Canis lupus familiaris: one gene and its partners. The protein of the gene in region 1 interacts with the protein of each later gene in a pairwise test. Links are inferred from orthologs where the notes say so. Each region holds a gene or a part of one and is shown in the gene's direction. Other genes may lie near its edges.

Evidence for each region. The genes of interacting proteins can lie anywhere in the genome.
Region 2: the proteins of ENOPH1 (region 1) and RNF41 interact in binary tests that used the Homo sapiens proteins (3 or more experiments, as listed by UniProt). The link is inferred for Canis lupus familiaris from reciprocal best matches to the Homo sapiens genes ENOPH1 and RNF41.
Region 3: the proteins of ENOPH1 (region 1) and RPS27 interact in a two-hybrid assay, tested with the Homo sapiens proteins (2 studies listed by BioGRID and IntAct). The link is inferred for Canis lupus familiaris from reciprocal best matches to the Homo sapiens genes ENOPH1 and RPS27.

Annotation. Positions count from the first base shown.
Region 1 is NC_049253.1:33,562,876-33,566,375, reverse strand, and holds part of ENOPH1 (enolase-phosphatase E1), read left to right. Parts: intron 1-1,193; coding exon 1,194-1,396; intron 1,397-3,500. UniProt on the Homo sapiens protein: Bifunctional enzyme that catalyzes the enolization of 2,3-diketo-5-methylthiopentyl-1-phosphate (DK-MTP-1-P) into the intermediate 2-hydroxy-3-keto-5-methylthiopentenyl-1-phosphate (HK-MTPenyl-1-P), which is then dephosphorylated to form the acireductone 1,2-dihydroxy-3-keto-5-methylthiopentene (DHK-MTPene).
Region 2 is NC_049231.1:895,330-899,449, reverse strand, and holds the start of RNF41 (E3 ubiquitin-protein ligase NRDP1), read left to right. Parts: upstream 1-1,320; 5' UTR 1,321-1,518; intron 1,519-1,546; exon of another isoform or gene 1,547-1,684; intron 1,685-3,871; 5' UTR 3,872-4,056; intron 4,057-4,120. UniProt on the Homo sapiens protein: Acts as E3 ubiquitin-protein ligase and regulates the degradation of target proteins. Polyubiquitinates MYD88. Negatively regulates MYD88-dependent production of pro-inflammatory cytokines.
Region 3 is NC_049228.1:43,135,522-43,138,585, reverse strand, and holds RPS27 (40S ribosomal protein S27), read left to right. Parts: upstream 1-1,370; 5' UTR 1,371-1,403; coding exon 1,404-1,409; intron 1,410-1,687; coding exon 1,688-1,796; intron 1,797-1,963; coding exon 1,964-2,074; intron 2,075-2,478; coding exon 2,479-2,507; 3' UTR 2,508-2,564; downstream 2,565-3,064. Other genes in the region: NUP210L (nuclear pore membrane glycoprotein 210-like), read right to left, coding at 2,938-3,041.

The DNA of each region.
Region 1 (3,500 bases):
AAACTCTGGCATGCTGCTGTGCTGCTCCTCCCAGAGAAGGAAGGGAAGGGTTTTAAGGTTCTGCCACTTGCCTGGGCCCTTGCTCTGGGAGCAGTTGCGCCAACCCTGCTGTGGTTTGATGTTTATGGAGACCTGGAGTTGAGGGCCCACTCCTGGGCTCGCTGATTGCAGCTGGCTTCCCTGGTCCAATGCCTGGGAACTCTCCGATGCCACACTCAGGCGCCCTCCCTCCCCCTCTCCCCCCTTCCCAGCCCCCCTGTGATCCCGAGGATCCTGAAGCCACACTGTCCCACCTAGGATTTTGCTCCGCTTGGCACCTGAGCACCTTTCTGGCAGGGACATCCCTCACCCCGACTGCTCTGTCACTTTTCAGTGCCAGCTGCCGGAGTCTTTTCCACCTGCAGTTAATCTTCCCATATATCGCCTCGGATTCACTTCTCCACACCTCTTACCTTGCCGAAAGTGGTCTCTTTTCTATGTGTAGAGTTGCAGCTATTCTTTCCTTAGAACTCTGGTTGAGTTTGCAGGTGTTCAGAATGATTTAATAGCTATCTAGTTGAATTCTTGGGACCAGACGAAACTAAGATCTACTCCTCTGCCATCTTTGGCATAAACTGATTTGACATTTTCTTTGTTTATTCCTCAGTTCATTATAGGACAGAGAAAATGACCAGATTTAATTAAAGTCCTGGTTTGTTGATCCTAGTAAGTGAATCGACACACTGGGTCTTACTATATCATTTTATCATTGTATGCTGTCTCTTCTCATGTACAACATGCCTATTTATTTATTTTAACTTATTTATGATAGTCACACAGAGAGAGATGAGAGAGAGACAGAGACACAGGCAGAGGGAGAAGCAGGCTCCATGCACCGGGAGCCCAACGGGGGACTCGATCCCGGGTCACCAGGATTGCGCCCTGGGCCAAAGGCAGGCGCCAAACCGCTGCGCCACCCAGGGATCCCTGCCTCTCCATTTAAATTTCAGCTATAACAATATAGGAAAAGCAAAGTAATTTATTAATTATAAGTCACTTTCTTTTAGGAAGCATTCATATCAGCCCCCCAAAATGTAAGTAACAGGGCTAGATGTTAATGATAGTTGGAGAAAGTTGATCGGCTGGGTTTTCAGATCTTAAGTGATCTTTATAAAAAACAAGTAAACAAATATCGTGTTGTTTGTGACTTAAAGGCTGAAGAGGATTCCCACCTGGATGGGGCTGTTCCCATCCCTGCCGCATCTGGGAATGGAGCAGATGACCTGCCGCAGATGATCCAGGCTGTGGTGGATAATGTGTGCTGGCAGATGTCTTTGGACCGAAAGACCACAGCACTGAAACAGCTGCAGGGCCACATGTGGAGGGCAGCATTCGCAGCTGGACGCATGAAAGCAGAGTATGTAGCTGCTCAAGTAACTCTAAACATTCCACCAGCCCTGAAACCAAATACATTTTTCCACTGGCTCGCTCTCTCCAATGTTGTTTGTGTGATTAGTAAAATAGATAAAATCAACATTCTTTTTATTTTAATAAGCAGGTGTTTGTTTTTTTTTTTCAAAGCCAGGATAAAGCGTTCCACCCAGCTAAGCTCCCCAGAGCAGCGTGCCTGGCTTTGTGGGGTGGATGAGGACTTTTAGCCCGGTTTAAAACAGCTACCTAGAAAATGGCGACTTCTTTGAGCTTGGTCATATTTGATCTTTTTTTTTTTTTTAAGATTTTATTTATTTATTCATAGAGATGCAGAGAGAGAGAGAGAGAGAGAGAGAGAGGCAGAGACACAGGCAGAGGGAGAAGCAGGCTCCATGCGGGGAGCCCGACATGGGACTCGATCCAGGGTCTCCAGATCACGCCCTGGGCTGCAGGCGGCGCTAAACCGCTGCGCCACCGGGGCTGCCCATATTTGATCTTTAATAGCCAAGTGACAGCACTGTTCAGCTGTTTCTCAGAACTGTCAGATTACCTGCTTTCTGCTCTGCTGCAGAAGTAAGAATGCTTTGAAATTATTTACGTGTCCTTTTAGGGTTACTCAAAATGTCAGGGGTATCACTGTCCTGTGCTGTTACAGCAACTTCCACAGACCCTCTGACTCTTGGTTGTGGTGTTCCTGGGAGCCCTCCTGTTGAAGGAAACTCATGAGTCCTGTATTGCTAAGGAATTTTTTTGTTAAGATTTTATTTTTAAGTGGTCTCTACACCTAACATGGGGGTCAAATTTACAACCCTGAGATTAAAAGTTGTATCCTCTACTGACTGAGCCAGTCAGGTGCCCTGCTAAGAATTTTTTTTTTTAAGATTTTATTTATTTATTCATGAGAGACACACAGAGAGAGAGAGAGAGAGAGAGAGAGAGAGACAGGCAGAGGGAGAAGCAGGCTCCATGCAGGGAGCCTGATGTGGGACTCGATCCCGGGTCTCCAGGATCATGCCCTGGGCTGAAGGGGGTGCTAAACCGCTGAGCCACCTAGGCTGCCCGGAAATTCTTTTTTTTTTTTTTTTTGCCCAGAAATTCTTTTTTTTTTTTTTTAAACTTTTTATTTTTTTTTTATTATTATTTTTTAATTTATTTATGATAGTCACAGAGAGAGAGAGAGGTAGAGACATAGGCAGAGGGAGAAGCAGGCTCCATGCACCGGGAGCCCGATGTGGGATTCGATCCCGGGTCTCCAGGATCGCGCCCTGGGCCAAAGGCAGGCGCCAAACCGCTGCGCCACACAGGGATCCCTCAGAAATTCTTAATAAGACAGTGCCACTAAGTATTTTAAGCCATTGCCTGATGTACACCCTAAGATTCAAGACTACTTTTAGTTGCTGCATTTCTTTTCCTGTCAAATGAGATGCCATTCCTTTATGTACTTTACAAGGGGCTTCCTTTTTAATATATATACATATATATATTTTTTAAGATTTTATTTATTTATTAGAGAGAGATTGCGAGGGATGCGCATGTACGAGCAGGGGGAGGGGCAAAGGGAGAGGGATAAGCCGACACCCTGCTGAACACAGAGCCTGACTCTGCAGGGCTCCATCCCAGGACTGGGTGACCTGAACTTACTGAGCTACCCACACGCCCTAGGGGGCTTCCACTTTTTAAAGGCTGCATTAGGATTTCAGGATAGGCCAGTCATCTGGTAATATCTGCTAGTTTACTTTGTAAAACACAAAAGAGTGGAGGCAAGAGAGGATGTTCGGACTAGTCAGTCCTTCCTTCTCTCAGACTTTCCTTAATCACAAAACCAGGGACTTCTAAGCCCTGCATTGGAACAAAAAAATCTGCACAGTTCAACGTGGAAGAATCCTGTCTGTGATTGCAGAAAACGCACAGAGTAACCCACAGGTGTATGTGCTGGTTTCAAACTAGTTGATTTCTTTCCTTCAATTAGTGGAATATATTAAGCTATTTTAGCCAGTAGGAGACTTTGCTGACATTTTCCAGTTCATCTGTTAAAGATGACTGGTTCCACATTCCAAGTTCCTTGTGCTTCTCTTTTCACCTGTTTTGCG
Region 2 (4,120 bases), on another chromosome or scaffold:
TCCATGCACCGGGAGCCCGACGTGGGATTCGATCCCGGGACTCCAGGATCGCGCCCTGGGCCAAAGGCAGGCGCCAAACCGCTGCGCCACCAGGGATCCCTCTTTTTCTTTTTTAGTGAAGATTTTATTTATTCATGAGAGGCAGAGGCACAGGCAGAGGGAGGAGCAGGCTCCAGCAGGACTCGATCCCGCGTCCCCGGGGTCACGCCCCGGACCGACGACGCTCAACCGCTGAGCCACCCAGGCGTCCCTTGGGGTCATCTTTAATGCACCCCCCCACCCAGCTTCGTAACGGTTTTGGAAAAAGCAGCCTTCACACCAGAGGCTGCCTCAGCGTTTTTGGAAGAATGGAACCCGGGGCACAAAGAACAGCATTTGCCTTAGTCCCTCTCCTCTTCCTAATGCACTTATCTACCTAGAGCCCAGGGTCTCCCCGCCCCCGGAGGAGTTAACAGAGGAGGCCCTTTGGGACTTGTCAGAACATCAACAGAACACTCCAGCTCGGTAGGGTTGTGTATAAGCCAATTACACATACACAAACCACAACCATTTGTTTAGCGAATATCCATAACAAATACTATCTAATATCAGATTAGCCTAGCAGGTCATGTCATTGTAATGTCTTGGCTTGATTAATTCCTTACCGTCCGGAGCGCTTTAGGCTCGGCCTGACTTTCCTCGGGTCCCAGGTTCTCTCCTGCCCACGCTCCCAATTACCGTGTTGTGTCCCTAGGAAGAGGGACATCCTATCGCCCCTCCCCTTGGGTGTTTCAGGGAACTCTGCGTCTAGGAGCAAGGCAGCCACCCGGTGGGCACCCCAGATCAGAGCTCTGCGGCGAGCCGCTCCCTCGTCCTCCACCCAGTGGTCGCCCAGTAGACTACACTATCCTCTCCCGCGACTATGAATCACTGGGTCGGGAGGCTCCGGGACGGAGGCCACCGCTCTGGAAACAGCAGACGGCCGGCCCCGCAGCAGGCCAGCCCCCGCCGCGACCTCGCACCCGGCCAACCCCAGGAGAGCGGGCTAGACGCTGCTCCACCGCCCGGTCCAGCCCCCCTGGGAGTCCGCATCGGGCTCCGCCCCCACACTGGCGCTGGGAAGCACCGAGTCCTCCCTCCCACATGGCTACAGAGTCCGCGTCGGGATCATAAACATTTTCGGCGGAGAGAGAAGGCCCGGCCAGGCTCCCCGCCTCCTCGTTGGTCGCTCGCGGCCTCTAGTCCAGATCCAACTTGGGCGAGGAGGCGAGGCTTGGTGACGAGCTTCCGCCGGGATGCGCAGCAGCGGCGGGCGGGGCCTGGTGACGAACTTCCGCCGGGTTACGTAGCAGCGGTGGGCGGGGCGAGGGGCCCTCCGCGCACGGCGGCGAGTGGCTGGGACCCTCCCTCCTCTTCCCCTTCCCCTTCCCCTCCCAGGATAGGCCGAGGCCGGGACCGGCACCGGCGCTCTCCCGCGGCCGCCGCGGCCTCCGCTCCAGCCGGGCCGGGGTGCGGACGGTCCAGACCGCTTCCAGGGCGGTGCGTACTGCGCCTGCGCCGGCTCCCGCCTACGAGGCTGTGGGACGGGAGGGGGAGATGTCCCGCGGGGGTTGGGACGGGGGCTCGAGATACCGGAGGTCGGGACAAGGGACGGGAGCAGAGATGAGAAATGGAGGAAGGGAGCGGGAATAGGGAGGAGTCGGAGGTGAGGAAGGGGCGCTGGAGGCTGCTTTGGAGTAGGGGAGGCGGGTGCGGGAGGGGGCCTGGCCGACGGGAGGACCGGGAGGAGGGGACCTGGGGCTACAACGTGGTGTTTAAATGGCAGTGACGGCGGGCTGGGAGGGGAGGGGACGTTGGGGGGTAGCCTGGGCAGGGGCGGTGGAACCTGAGCCCCCGCCCTCGCCGCGCGGAGCTTGGCTCCTCTCCCGTGCCTGGTCCTTGGCAGCCTTGTCTTCCTCCATTCCTTCCCCCGCCCCCCCGCCCCCCTCCTTGAAGGAATCTTACATTCCTTACATCCCTTCCTTGGCTTTGCAACCGGGCCCTTTTCGCAGGCTTCACACACCAGAGAGCCTGCCCTAACCCAGCACTCTGCGAAACTGGGGAAGGGGGAGGGGGCTGACGGAGGAGCAGAAAGCCGAGAGAGGTGAGAGTGTTTGCCCAAGGGACTGGGCTGCGATGGTGGTGGTCCTGTACAGGTGGTTTTAGGCAAGAAGTCGATAGTGTCGCTGGCTGATAGTTTTCCCCCAGATGGGAATGGGGTAGACTAGTGGACAGGAATCTGAGGGATGTGATGATGTTACTACTCTGTGTGTCCAGCCAGACTTTGTGTCTGGGGCTGGTTCTTGGTCATTGAAAAGGAACAAGCTGCTTTCAAGCATTTCCTCACTAGCCTCCAGTATTCTAAATTTATTTTGCATTCTATTGTTACAAATGCCTTACCTGAAACACAGCTGTATTCAGTATGTCTTCACACTTATTATGTCTTTGATTTTCCAGGACGACATGTAAGGTAGATAAAGGCAGGTATCTTTCCTACTTGTCAGGTGAAGACATTGAAAACTACAGAAGAGATACTGACTTGTTTAAAGGCCTTGCAGTTGGCAGAGCTGGGACCAGAACCCAGGTCTCCTAACTCCTGGTCCTCCTCTTAGTTGAAAACTCCTGTTTTCTTCTGGCTAAGGGAGCATTCCAGCATGGGCAAGATTTGCTTGCTGAGTCTGGAGCTTGTCACTAGAAGACTGAGCAGAGCCACCAACAGTGGTTCCTGGAAGCATTTTGTGAAGTACAGGTGCATATGCCAGGCTGTTGGGAAATAGGGTGTTGTCAAAATGAGGGCAGCATTACACTCCTCTTGTGTTATGGGTGAGGGAGAAACAACTTCCTCCCTACCCCCCAAAGAGAAAGTGTGTCCGACATTACACCTTTATCTCTCTGGTTTGAAAATACCACACTAAATGTGTTTGGCTGATGAGCATAGTAAACTAATGAGCATGAGTACCAGACTCAGAAGAAGAAATGGTCTCAGTTTTATGCATAAAAATTATCATCATCCTTTTGCTTTGTAACACAGCCCTTAATCTGTTGATGGCCATATGATGGGGAGGAAGGGAGTTTGAACAGTTACTATTCTCCCGTGTAGTAGTATTGAGTAGACCTCACAGCACACTTCATCTGTATTGAGTAGACCTCACAGCACACTTCATCTGAAGCCTGTCCCCCTTTACTTGGTCTCATTCTCTTAGCAATGAGAGTCTAATCTTCCTAATCATACCTCTAGTCTTCCTAGTCGCCCACTCAGGAGTAATTTCCCATTTCATTACCTCTTCCTCTTCTTTTTTAGAGCCTGATCCTGTCAGGAATATTTTCAGACTTGGAAACTAGATTCATACCTGTATGAACATTCTTGAGTATCTTCTTATGAAATAGTATTTTTCAGGCGGAGGGTAGGATTAGAATTCTTTTTACATGATTTCGGTAATTTTTGTGAAAGCCTTTGGGAAACATTAAAGCATTCTACTCTGCGTGTAAGCTTTCGTTGATCTCTGCATTGTACAGCCACAGATCTGGAATCATTGACATTCCTTGTGGTTGTGTGCGCTGAATACGAGAATCTTCCTCTGTCTCAAACAACTCTTTTTTACCTTTTTTCTTGTCCCTTTCTCTGCCTGTCTCAGCTATGTTTGAATCTCCTGGATTGTGTGTGTGAGTCTGAGATTCCTTAGCCAGTGATCTCCATCCTTAGAAGGCAGTCTTGTGTCCCCAGCTCTGAAACGTGTTGCCCTTAATGAAATCGTCTCTTCAACCAGTCGCCAGATCCATGTCTGTCTAGTCTCACTGCCCGGTGGAGGTAGTTCCCCTGACTCACCTTTTTCTTCCTTGTTCCTATTAATAGAGTGCTCCTGATTGTGACATCACATCCATCCCCTTGGCGATGGAGCTTGTCACTAGGAAGGAAGACTCGGTCGGACAATAGCCAACAAGATGGGTTACTGGGAGCGTCTCCTGAGTGACACTGAGTGGAGGCCTCAGGGGGTTGGAGCCTTGTGAACAGGGAACCTACCCCCCAACACTTGGAAGGTAAAGAGCCTTGTTTCAGAATCCCATTCCAAGCTTCAGGTCTCATCTCAGACTATCTGGGTTC
Region 3 (3,064 bases), on another chromosome or scaffold:
AGATATTTAACCGACTGAGCCACTCAGGGACCCATGGTTTCATTCTTTGGATGAGGTATGGATCTTTAACATAGCCCCGAGGCCGCCCTCTTGGGACCACATGAAAGGTTTGTGAAAAGGCAAGGAAAAAGCTTAAGTGGAAAACATGGCTATAAAGAAACAAGTTTATCTTTGCTTTTTGGGAAAAAAAAAAAAAAACTGTTCAAACTATTTGCTTTTCTAACAGTGGGTCAGAATTGTCCTCATGTAGAGCGTACTGGTACTACACTTCCCTCATCTGGTCACGTTCGCGCCGGCGCTTGCCCCTTCTCAGACACCACCACTGAACCCACTTTGTCCATTCTCTCACCTCCCACCATGTCTTCAAGCTGTATCACAAATCTTGAGTTTTCGCTATTTCTCCTCACTAGCCAAAGTGTCCTTTATTCTTCAACTTTCATTAATTCTGACAATAACCCAGCAATTCTTCTTTTTTTTTTTTTCCATTTTGCTTGGAACTGGACTCCATCCCCAGAGTGTGGTGCGTGTGGTGCCCACCCCTCCAAACGGTACCGATGCTGGGGTACAATAGCTGTTCCTGAACCCGGCCCCGGACGCTCTGCCTTTCACTCGGAGCTCCGGCAACTATGCCTCCCCTCCGTCTGGCCCTGGGTTTTGTCCGTCAACCCACACAGTGCTTCTGTCCAGACTCCGGCCCCTCAGAGATCCCTCTTCCCAGTGCCGCTGTCACTCTGGAAGTTCGACTCTGGCCGCGGGGCGGGTGTTTGCACCCGACACTCCACGCCCCTGACCCGAGTTCACACGCCTCTGCTTGCATTCCCAGACGCCGTCGAGAAGTCTTCGGTCCTCTGGTGACAAAGGGACCTTCTAGACGCTGGGCCCGACTGTACAAGACGTGGCTCCGGTCCCGGTTTGCTTTCTCCTCGCCCTTTCCAAGTGTGTCGGTGCGGATGTACAATGTCCGGCCGCCACAGCCGCCCAGGGCGAGCACTACGCCAGCGTCTGATGTCATCGTCACTTAGAGGAAAACCACTGGATAAAACAAAACAGCCGCTGACCTCGCAGCAAGCTGGGGAAGCGGGGAAATAGGCGGGCCTTCTTTTCCCGTGTTTACACTTCGGGGTGCTGACTGGGCAAAGTAAACCCACGGAAAAACAGCAAAGGAAGCGGAGAGGTCCCAGGCAGGGCGGGGCGCGCCTGTTCGTCAGCGTACCCTACGGACGCGCTCCCACGGTCGCGGCGCAGCAGCCCGTCCAAAGGCGCTGGTTTCTGCCACAGGCGGCGCGCGGACTTCGGCATGGCGGCCGAACGCGCGCGCGCGTCACTTCCGGCGGACGGCGGATATAAGCGGCAGGATTTCCGCTTTCGCTCCTTTCCGGCGGTGACGACCTCCCCACGAGAACATGCCCGTGAGTTCCTCCGCCCGGGTCTCGGCGGAGCCCTCGCTTCCCGCGCGCGCGCGTGCTCCTCCGCCGGGTGCGGGCCGTGGGGGCCGGCCGCGGACCGCGGGCGGCCGGGGGCGGGCGGCGGGCGGCCCGGGGCGGGGATAAGATGGCGGCCCCGCTGCGGACGCCGAGCGGTGCGGGCTGTTGCTGCCGCTGCTATTGCTTCTTGCTCCTGTTCCTCCTCCTCCCCACTCTACTGCCCCGGGCCGTTGCTGCTCTGACCACACCTTGTGCCCCCGTAGCTTGCGAAGGATCTCCTGCACCCGTCCCCGGAAGAGGAGAAGAGGAAGCACAAGAAGAAGCGCCTGGTGCAGAGCCCCAACTCCTACTTCATGGACGTTAAGTGCCCGGGTGAGGGGCGCCGCCAGGGGGGAACGACGCGGGAGGGGGGGGGAGGGGGAGGGGAGGGTCCCGGGGCGGGGGTGAGGAGAGCGGCGGGTTCCCAGCGGGCTCCAGCGAGGAGGGCCTGAAAAGGCCTGAAAGGTCCTCACTCCCCGCTTCCTGACGTCTCTTCCCAGGATGCTACAAAATCACCACCGTCTTCAGCCACGCACAGACGGTAGTTCTGTGTGTCGGCTGTTCTACTGTCCTCTGCCAGCCCACGGGAGGAAAAGCAAGGCTTACAGAAGGTGAGCTGCTGAGCGAACGTCGTCGTTGGGGCTTGAATCTTGGAGCGGGGGGGGGGGGGGTGTCGTGTGTCCTCAGACCGCCTCGTGCAGGCTGTTGGATTGTAAAGTCCGCCGGCCACCCTCCCGCAAGAGGATTGCCAGAAACCACACATTCCTTAGATCCAAAACAAACCTAAAGCTGTACCTGGGTAATGATGAAAGGGGCTTCATATGAGGGAGCGCGAGGGCTATAAACGGCTGAAGTGGTAGCTATAAGTTTTTTTTTTTTTTTTTTTGGTAGCTATAAGTTTTGAGGAAAGTAAAGATGTAGTTTTCCTGTGGATGGATTAGCAGCCACGCTCGTTTCTTGGGGGGTGGCAGGATAAGTAGGCTGCTATCAATCTCTGAACCGTTTTTTCTTCCAGGATGCTCCTTCAGGCGGAAGCAGCACTAAAAGCTCCCTGAATCAAGATGAGTGGGACACTATCCCAATAAACAGATTTTGGATACATCCTGTTTATTGTCTTTGTTTTACTGCTAGGAAGTTCCTACTCAAGTACTCAGGGGCACCCAGAAGAGTGGACTGCTAGTCATTTGGGGCAAGTAAGTGGCCAAGTACTTAAATCCATATGGAACATTGCTATCCAGCTAGGCTCACTGACTAAATCTTTGGAACTTGATAGAAACATAGGATGCTATATAAATGGGATATTTTCTTTAACTCTTACGTTTCCATTTTTTAGCCGCTAGTTGAAAACAGTCTACCACACCACTTTAGTGCCGAACACCTTAGGATCGATCCTTTATTTACAGTTTTTGGAAACCTAGTTTGGGGGCTTATAGCTCCAGTTCTTTACAGCTGAAGGGATTTGTCCAAGTGGAGTTTAGTGCCTTACACTCCACAGCCAGTGTTGTAGCCGACTCTGAGCTGGTGGGGGTTGGGGACTCAGGAAAGGCGGAGGAGAACGTGTGGTGGGGGCATAAGAACCTAGGAGTAAAAATGAGAGACAG